Saccharomyces cerevisiae S288C: one gene and its partner. The gene in region 2 interacts genetically with the main gene of each other region. Each region holds a gene or a part of one and is shown on either strand. Other genes may lie near its edges.

The links.
Region 1: mutations in SYC1 (region 2) and ARO7 together harm fitness more than expected from each alone (negative genetic interaction), as found in Saccharomyces cerevisiae (2 studies listed by BioGRID).

Annotation. Positions count from the first base shown.
Region 1 is NC_001148.4:673,337-677,364, reverse strand, and holds ARO7 (chorismate mutase ARO7), read left to right. Parts: upstream 1-1,733; coding exon 1,734-2,504; downstream 2,505-4,028. Other genes in the region: FCY1 (cytosine deaminase), read right to left, coding at 1-200; JID1 (Jid1p), read left to right, coding at 483-1,388; YMC1 (organic acid transporter), read right to left, coding at 2,691-3,614; BRR1 (Brr1p), read right to left, coding at 3,869-4,028. UniProt on the Saccharomyces cerevisiae protein: Catalyzes the Claisen rearrangement of chorismate to prephenate. Acts at the first branch point in the aromatic amino acid pathway where it steers biosynthesis towards phenylalanine and tyrosine, and away from tryptophan.
Region 2 is NC_001147.6:670,445-675,559, reverse strand, and holds SYC1 (cleavage polyadenylation factor subunit SYC1), read left to right. Parts: upstream 1-3,148; coding exon 3,149-3,715; downstream 3,716-5,115. Other genes in the region: putative dodecenoyl-CoA isomerase DCI1, read left to right, coding at 393-1,208. UniProt on the Saccharomyces cerevisiae protein: Component of the cleavage and polyadenylation factor (CPF) complex, which plays a key role in polyadenylation-dependent pre-mRNA 3'-end formation and cooperates with cleavage factors including the CFIA complex and NAB4/CFIB.

The sequences.
Region 1 (4,028 bases), on a different chromosome or scaffold from region 2:
GTGGAGATCTCACCATGTAGTGTGGCGGATCCCTTTTGAAATCTCATGTTGTGACCACGACCGAGAACACTTCCGTCTTTGTTATTGATAAGACATCCGCCAATAGGAACACCACCCTCTTTGTAACCTAAGGCCGCCTCCTCATAGGCAATGTCCATACCCTTCTGATCCCACTTGCTTGCCATTCCCCCTGTCACCATTAGCTATGAAATTTTTAACTCTTTAAGCTGGCTCTCATCAACATAAAACAATGGCTTGTAGATCTCATTGTCGAATTGAAAATGAACTTTTTAATTTCGCAAAAAAAAAAAGAAAAGTTCAGGGTCTCCGGGTACTACCGCCCCTGCAAGGAATGACCGGTGATAATGGAAGAGAAGATATTACAGCGACAGTATAATTAACAAACACGTTGTGTCTTTAGGCTCGTAACTAACTGTACGTATATCTACACACCATAGGTCACTACTTGCAATATATTTGTTATGCTACACCATAAGTTCGTATACCCATTTTTATTCAAGTGGCACTTATCATGTGTAGAAAAGTGTCCCCCACAAATCACTTTTATAGCTAAGTATGCTACAGCGAACGATAAAAATGGCAATAGAAAACTTACGATAAGGGATGAACAATGGCCTGAGTTGGCAGATCCAACTCCCTATGATATTTTTGGCATTCCAAAGGCCGGATCTGGAAATCCTAAACTGGACAAGAAGTCGTTAAAAAAAAAATATCATCGTTATGTAAAATTGTACCACCCTGACCATTCCGATAACATTCAAATATTTAGCTCAGAAAAGGTTACCAACAGTGATAGTAAATCACCGCTGCTGCTAACATCAAGCGAAAAACTACATAGATTTAAAGTCATCTCTCAAGCATATGATATTCTTTGTGACCCAAAGAAAAAGATCGTATATGACACAACGAGGCAAGGCTGGACCACATCGTATTCACCACGTTCTAACGTTAATACTGAAAATTACCAATATGCCGGCTCTTATGGCTACCACTCTAACGCGCAGTATGAATACTGGAACGCTGGGACTTGGGAAGACGCAAATAGCATGAAAAACGAAAGAATTCAAGAAAACATCAACCCATGGACCGTTATTGGCATAATTTGTGGCCTAGCTATATGCATCGAAGGGACTGCGTTGTTAGCCAAAATCCAGGAGTCTCTGAGCAAGGCCGAATTTACTCATGACGAAAGTGGATTACATTTGATTCAGTCATACACGAATTATGGTCTTGATACTGACAAATTTTCCAGATTGAGGCGGTTCTTATGGTTTAGAACTTGGGGACTTTACAAGTCGAAAGAGGATTTAGATAGAGAAGCCAAGATCAATGAAGAAATGATACGCAAACTGAAAGCAGCTAAATGAAATCACCTATTGCGCCGCTCGCGGAATACAATTACTAAATTTTATATATATTCTTTAAAAATGCATCTATACATTCGTTTTTCCACGTATACCAAATTCGAAAAAAGTTGTTAAACCATCGTTTTCACGTTTTTTAATTTTTTTTTGGTTCTCTTTTTTTTTTTTTTTCAATATCAACTTTTTTTCAAACTTCGTGTTGCATTTCCTTTATCGTAAATTTTCAATGGATCTCTATAATCTTCGAAGTTCGAAGAAAAGAAGAAAAAAAGTATTGAAAAGTTGAAACATCGATTCCGTTTTGCTAACAAATAGCACTCAGCATCCTGCATAAAATTGGTATAAGATATGGATTTCACAAAACCAGAAACTGTTTTAAATCTACAAAATATTAGAGATGAATTAGTTAGAATGGAGGATTCGATCATCTTCAAATTTATTGAGAGGTCGCATTTCGCCACATGTCCTTCAGTTTATGAGGCAAACCATCCAGGTTTAGAAATTCCGAATTTTAAAGGATCTTTCTTGGATTGGGCTCTTTCAAATCTTGAAATTGCGCATTCTCGCATCAGAAGATTCGAATCACCTGATGAAACTCCCTTCTTTCCTGACAAGATTCAGAAATCATTCTTACCGAGCATTAACTACCCACAAATTTTGGCGCCTTATGCCCCAGAAGTTAATTACAATGATAAAATAAAAAAAGTTTATATTGAAAAGATTATACCATTAATTTCGAAAAGAGATGGTGATGATAAGAATAACTTCGGTTCTGTTGCCACTAGAGATATAGAATGTTTGCAAAGCTTGAGTAGGAGAATCCACTTTGGCAAGTTTGTTGCTGAAGCCAAGTTCCAATCGGATATCCCGCTATACACAAAGCTGATCAAAAGTAAAGATGTCGAGGGGATAATGAAGAATATCACCAATTCTGCCGTTGAAGAAAAGATTCTAGAAAGATTAACTAAGAAGGCTGAAGTCTATGGTGTGGACCCTACCAACGAGTCAGGTGAAAGAAGGATTACTCCAGAATATTTGGTAAAAATTTATAAGGAAATTGTTATACCTATCACTAAGGAAGTTGAGGTGGAATACTTGCTAAGAAGGTTGGAAGAGTAAGCATGAAGGCTATCACGGTAACAATTCCACATTGCCGAGTGATTACTACGCATATATAAACACACACACTCACCATATATATGTACGCATAGTAGCATCTATTGAATATAAGAAGATAGAGTTTCAAGTTATACATTATATTGTACTATTTTCTTAAACGATGGCTCATAAATTCTATAGGAATTATCAACCCAATAACCTCATCGCTAATTCAAAAGTAGCAAAAGTGGCACCATTGGCGGGAGCAGCTCTTAGCATGGTAGGACCAAACCCTTTGAAAAAAGCGCCTATCCCTCCATTGGCATATAAAGTCTTGGCTACACTGGAAATAGAATTACCAAATTTAGGCTTTTGTAAATTATCCGTTTGCATGACAGACTTGATGACATCTAATGGATATACCATCAACCATAAGGCAGTGCCAGACAATGCTCCAAAAATACAAAGTTTCCATGCAGGAATGTCCTTTCTCTCTAGTCCACGTCTTTTGTTCATTTGGTTAGCAATCAACGCTTCATACACTAAGAAATATGTGCCACATCCATGACCTTCTCTCAATATTGTAGGTGTTAAACCACGTAGCAAGGCCTTGTTATGTCTTAATTTTTTGATGCATTCCAAAGGACCCTTGAATTCTGCGTTGGTGCCTGAGCCAGTCTGTGTTTGCAAGCGAATCCTGACATGCTCAATTGGGGACGCCAAGAATGAGTTTACTATACCGCCTGTGACACCACATGCGTAATACTGTGGCAATGACAAAGTCGATGACATATCAGCATTGCGATGATGAAAAAATCTCTTCATAGCTTCATTAACACCAAATTGTAATGAAACACATGCACCAACACCAATTAATGGCGTCAGAGTTCCTTTGTAAAACCCGCGAGGCCCTTCATTGGCAAGCAGCTTTCTGACGACTTCCATGGCTGTTGTTGGGGTGCTCGATGTTTGTAACCTAACTTTTGTCGTATCAAAGGGCTGGCCCACTAGCACTTGCGCAATACCACCCGCTGTACCTGCAAGCAAATCTTTCACGACTCGAGCATTATCATGCTGTGGATGTTCTTCCAAATCATCGATTAGTTGAGGAGATGGAAATTCTTCAGACATACTTCTTCGTGATGCGAATTTGATTGACGAGAAACCTAAACAAGAGAGCTGCGTTGGAGTATAGATGATAGTTGTTATTAGCTTATTGACATTGATTGATGCTATAGCATGGCTACATCATCGCTGACAATTTGCGCTCGAGTTTTCTTAGGGCGCCGCTTATCTTCGGCCTATCAGTAAATGTAAGAATGAGTCAATCAAAGTAATAACACTTTTTACTTCCTGTAAAAAACTACATAAGAAATTTATTTACATTATTCTATCAAGTCTTTTTGACCATAGTTCACTGCTATAACAGACACTGTCAGCTCAGTTATCGTCATATTCTCCACCGCGGCTGGTATCTCAACATTCAATTCCGCCATCTCCTTCGGGAGTGTTATTTTATTCTCATGTGCTTCAACTGGCTTCTTT
Region 2 (5,115 bases):
GCCGGCGTTACTTGAAACTAAACGCATACTTTATGAAAAAGGGCCATCAACTTGTCTTTTTGTTAACATTCATTTTGAAAATATGAACTTTGGTATAATTGAAAATCTAGCATATCTATATTTTTTGAATATATTTAGGCGATAACTTAAAAAAGCATTGTTTCAGTTCTGAAGTTTGTTGCTTGTTTCTATTCTTTACTGGATGTCTGAAACCCCAAAAAAAAAAAAAAAAAAAGGACTCCACAAGTAGCGGCTGTAAGCGCGCTAAACTCCGACAGTGTATTATATATACGTAAACGATCCTGATAGAAAAATCCAATCCATTACCCCGGGATTATTTTATTACAGAGTAGGATTTTCTGGTGTTAAGTCTAGTGAGTTATCTTCTAACTATGAGCAGTCGTGTGTGCTACCATATTAATGGTCCCTTTTTCATAATCAAATTAATTGATCCAAAACATTTGAACTCTTTAACTTTCGAGGATTTTGTATACATTGCACTATTACTGCATAAGGCAAACGATATTGATTCTGTTTTGTTTACTGTTCTACAAAGCTCAGGCAAGTATTTCTCCTCGGGAGGTAAGTTTTCAGCAGTTAACAAGCTAAACGATGGAGACGTTACAAGCGAAGTGGAGAAAGTCTCAAAGCTGGTATCTGCTATAAGCTCTCCTAACATATTTGTGGCGAACGCATTTGCAATCCATAAAAAGGTTCTGGTGTGCTGTTTGAATGGACCGGCCATCGGACTTAGCGCATCGCTAGTTGCTCTTTGTGACATTGTTTACTCGCAAAACGATTCAGTATTTCTTCTTTTTCCCTTCAGCAATCTCGGTTTTGTCGCAGAAGTGGGAACTTCTGTTACCTTAACTCAAAAACTGGGTATAAATTCTGCAAACGAACATATGATTTTCAGCACACCAGTTCTATTTAAAGAATTGATAGGAACTATTATTACAAAAAATTATCAATTGACAAATACTGAAACATTCAATGAAAAAGTTCTTCAGGACATAAAGCAGAATTTAGAAGGGCTTTATCCGAAAAGTGTACTAGGTATGAAAGAATTGTTACACAGTGAAATGAAACAGAAGCTTATCAAAGCACAAGCAATGGAGACTAACGGAACCTTGCCTTTTTGGGCAAGCGGCGAGCCATTCAAAAGATTTAAACAGCTTCAAGAGGGAAACAGGCGCCACAAGTTATAATAATATAGCATTTAGAGATAGGATTTTAACATAAAAAATCTACTACACGATCATACTTCTGCAATTGTTAAATTCCGGGTTCTTTAATACTTTAATGTTGGCGCACAATATTTTATATCTGTTGTAAAATCCGCTTACAATATAAGTGAAATTGTTCCATTTTGTTTCATAGGAATTCTTACTCAAAAAGGATGTTTTTTAATATTCATATAATATTTACAAATAGCTCTCTGAAAAAAAGGATTTTTTTTTACACCTAATAAAACTGTCATTCATGTTAAGTAACTAAAGTGCTTCACAACTGTACTTAATGAACTGAATCAATTTCCTTGGCAATGCAAATTCTTCCAGACAAGAGGCGGCCGCGGCGGTATCTCTAGAAAATTTGGCAGCCGCACAAAAGGGTCCTACTGATGACGGGCTGGCAAACGGCGCTCTCCAAGGCACAAACTTTGTGACAAAATAGAATCCAGCGGCAGAGATCCGGATAAAAATGGGGGAGTGGACTTTCAAAAGCCGTACACCTCTTGTACTGAGGACAAATAATACAAGTTAAACTTGAATATTTAGATATGAGACAAAATGCTAACGCACATTCTCACTCCTAAATACTTAATTTCGAAGTCTGCGTTCCAAGATATGTAAGCCATCCATTCATACGGGATTGATGGAAAAGTCAGTAAATTTACAATACCCCTTTTATTCTGTTTGATGTGACAACTACTCGAAATCTGCGTAGTAATAAATATAACCAAAGGGAGTTCTAAAGAAGAAAAAAGGAACTCCCCAAAATAGGTCAACGATTACGAAAATTTTTATATGTTTGTTGGAAGTATTCGAGGAATGAAAAGAAAAATGGGTAGCAAACTGGGAATAACTGAAATAGAACCAAACGTCATCTTTTTAGAAAGAAAGGCATTCTTAGAATCATGATATGCCGTCCTTCGACCATATTGTGACCTAAGCTTTTTCTTCGACAATTGATACTGCATAATCGAAGGAGGATAAAAAAGTTGTTACGATAGTATTCCTTGAATGCACTTGGACTATATATACATGTTTATATTAGACGCATCTTTGACATTTTGCTTGCGCTAACCTTGCAGGTAAGGAGAGCAAAGGGAAAATGCATCGAAAAAAAAAAAATCGTGCTATTTTCGCTAATAACTATGCAAAATCAAGTGAAATGGTGTTTCTCGAAAAAGGTCACAAGCGCAACTTTATTTTCATGGTATATTCAGAATTTATTTTAATGATCGAAAAAAATTGGCCTAGCAAAGTAATCATTCAATAGTTTAAAGGCGGTTGCGGAGGATAGTGACAGAAAGAACTTCAGAAAAAGGTCCCTAGCCTAAAAGGAGCCATCACTATTAATGAACTCTATGAAGTTTCTGCTAAGAGAAAAGAATTTAGCCGATGTTTTGTTCAACTGCGACGCTTAGGGAAGAAAACATCGAAATATCGCAAGTTGTGTAACCCAGGCCACTCAAAGTCGAGTCTTTAAAAGTAGTGGTTTTATGCATATGTGCTGTTGTTGTTTTCCGAGAGGGATGCATATGAAATCTAGCCGAAAAGGCGATATCGTAGTATACAATGATTATGTATTTTTTTTGATTTTAATTTTTAGATAACCGACGATGGGGATAAAAGATATAAATCATAATGGTATCAAGCATCGTTGCTACTATGAAAAAAGACTTTATGTGATAAACATGCTTTATCTAATCAATTCACTTACTTCTTTACAAAATTCACTCATTCAACGATAGAATAAAATAGTCTCAAATTTGAGATTTTTTTTTTTAACTTCGGATGTTCTTCTTCGGGAAAGGAAGAAAGCAAGAAAAACAAGAAAAAAATAAGAGGAAACGGAGATAAAATTGCATGTCTGCACTATGACTGAACAAGAGCGGCTCACGTAATTTGCATTATAACGTAAAATGGATTTACCCAAGGACAAAAGTGACAGAACTCATCAAAGAATTAATCTAAATAACAGTGGGACAGATCGAACTAATGATTTGTACCTTCATATTGTCCAAACGTTCGGTTGCATAGAAACAACTGCAACGGAAAATGCCACGAAACTGTTAATGCTGGGTGACGTCGAAGTAGAAATATCTGCGAGCAGCGTTTCAATTGAGTGGACACAGAAGTCAATGATAAGCCAAACAATTGCCGATAGTATAGTAATAATGATCATCGGTTTGTGTGCAAGCGACAAGAACGTGCTATCTGAATCAGAATTGAAAGAGAGAAACCATAACGTTTGGAAGATCCAAGAATTGCAAAATCTGTTTCGAGAACAATTTGGAGACAGTTTTAGCATCGATGAAGGAATAGGAAAAAAAGAAAATGTAAAGAATGGTAGCGTCACCATAGGCAAGAGTAAAGCCACGATCGATTTCTCCACCATGAAGCTGATTGATTGTAATTCGAACCCACTAAAGGGAAGAGTGGAGAGCATACTAAGCATTGGCCAGAAATTAACAACTCCATTGTGCTGAACGTCATTACTTACCTTTTTATTTTCTTGTATGTGCTTTCATCTGAATTATTGGTGGATTATGTAACAAGTTGTTGAGTTTTCCCCATATAACTACTTCGCCAAGGAAATGGTAGGTGCGGGGGCGGAGAACGCAAACCAGCGTATCTATGGCTAAATAAGGAAGAAGCAACAACACTGTTGTAATTATGAGGCATACATAGACACAGATTCGTACATTATTTCCATAATACGTAGGAATATTACTCAAGGACAAGCGGATTTCAACCTTAAAAGGTGAGGAGTAGCTGCATGAGCATCGGTGACGGTGATTTCACCTTACTTTTTCGGAATACGAATGTACACAAGCGGCACAATAAAGTTTAACCAATCTTGTTTTACGTAGCTATTTTTATTACTCTTAGTTTTGTGTGTATCTGCAATGCTACGAAGCGCCTCCGTAAACACCAATAATCGGTGCTGGAGTACTCTTATCACAAAAAGCCCGAGCACGCACCATGTAATTTCCGAGATCTGTTACGCAAACAAAGGAAAGGCGGGAGTACCACAGCAGTGTCAAGGTCTATTGACGCACCCCGCAGGAAACGGCTTACGTAAGCTCCGTCATACAAAATGCGTAGAGACCATGCATTCTCCACACATCGTATTGAGCGAGTAGTGGGATGTGGTGGCTTCTTCTCGGTCCGAAAACTATATTTCTTCCGCGGAAAGACGCGCTGCTCCAAAGCGGCGACAAACCTCTTTTTTTTGCCCCTTCTTATGAATGCAGCAAATGAAGAGCGTCCTCGTCCGTAAGTGAGATGGCGTGGCGTGGATCTGCAGGCTGGTAACAGCCAAGCTAAAAGAACACCAGACAGACAATCAAGGAGGACGCGGCGAAAAAAATACTCACTGGGTTATGGGCGGTTATCTGCAGCAGAGTGGGGCAGTGGCCTAAAAAACATCAGGGGGTGAATCAACGTACGTCAAATCAACAGAAAACTACTGCTAAAAGAAACGAATACAACCCGAATCAACAGTTTTTCTCTATTTGTCGCAGTCTTTCCTCTCTAATTTTACTTTTTTTTTTTTTTTTTTTCTTTGATATCTTAGATTCCCTTCCCTCCCTATCTTTTTTTTTTTCTCGCAATCTGGGGAAAGCTTTTCTCATGCTTATACGTGATTTGTTATATAAGGGATTGCTATTTCAGGCATCATTCACCTCCTTTTGTATCCTTAGTTTCACTGCATTTGATATATATATATACGTATCTGTAGTTTCCTTCCATTACATAACGCATAATATACTATTTCCATAGTCTATCTTACATCTTTTTTCTTACTTTTGTTAAGGAACGGATAACGATAAAACAAAAAGAGAGATTTAAGATTACTTCTGTAACTTTTTTGATCCATTACCAA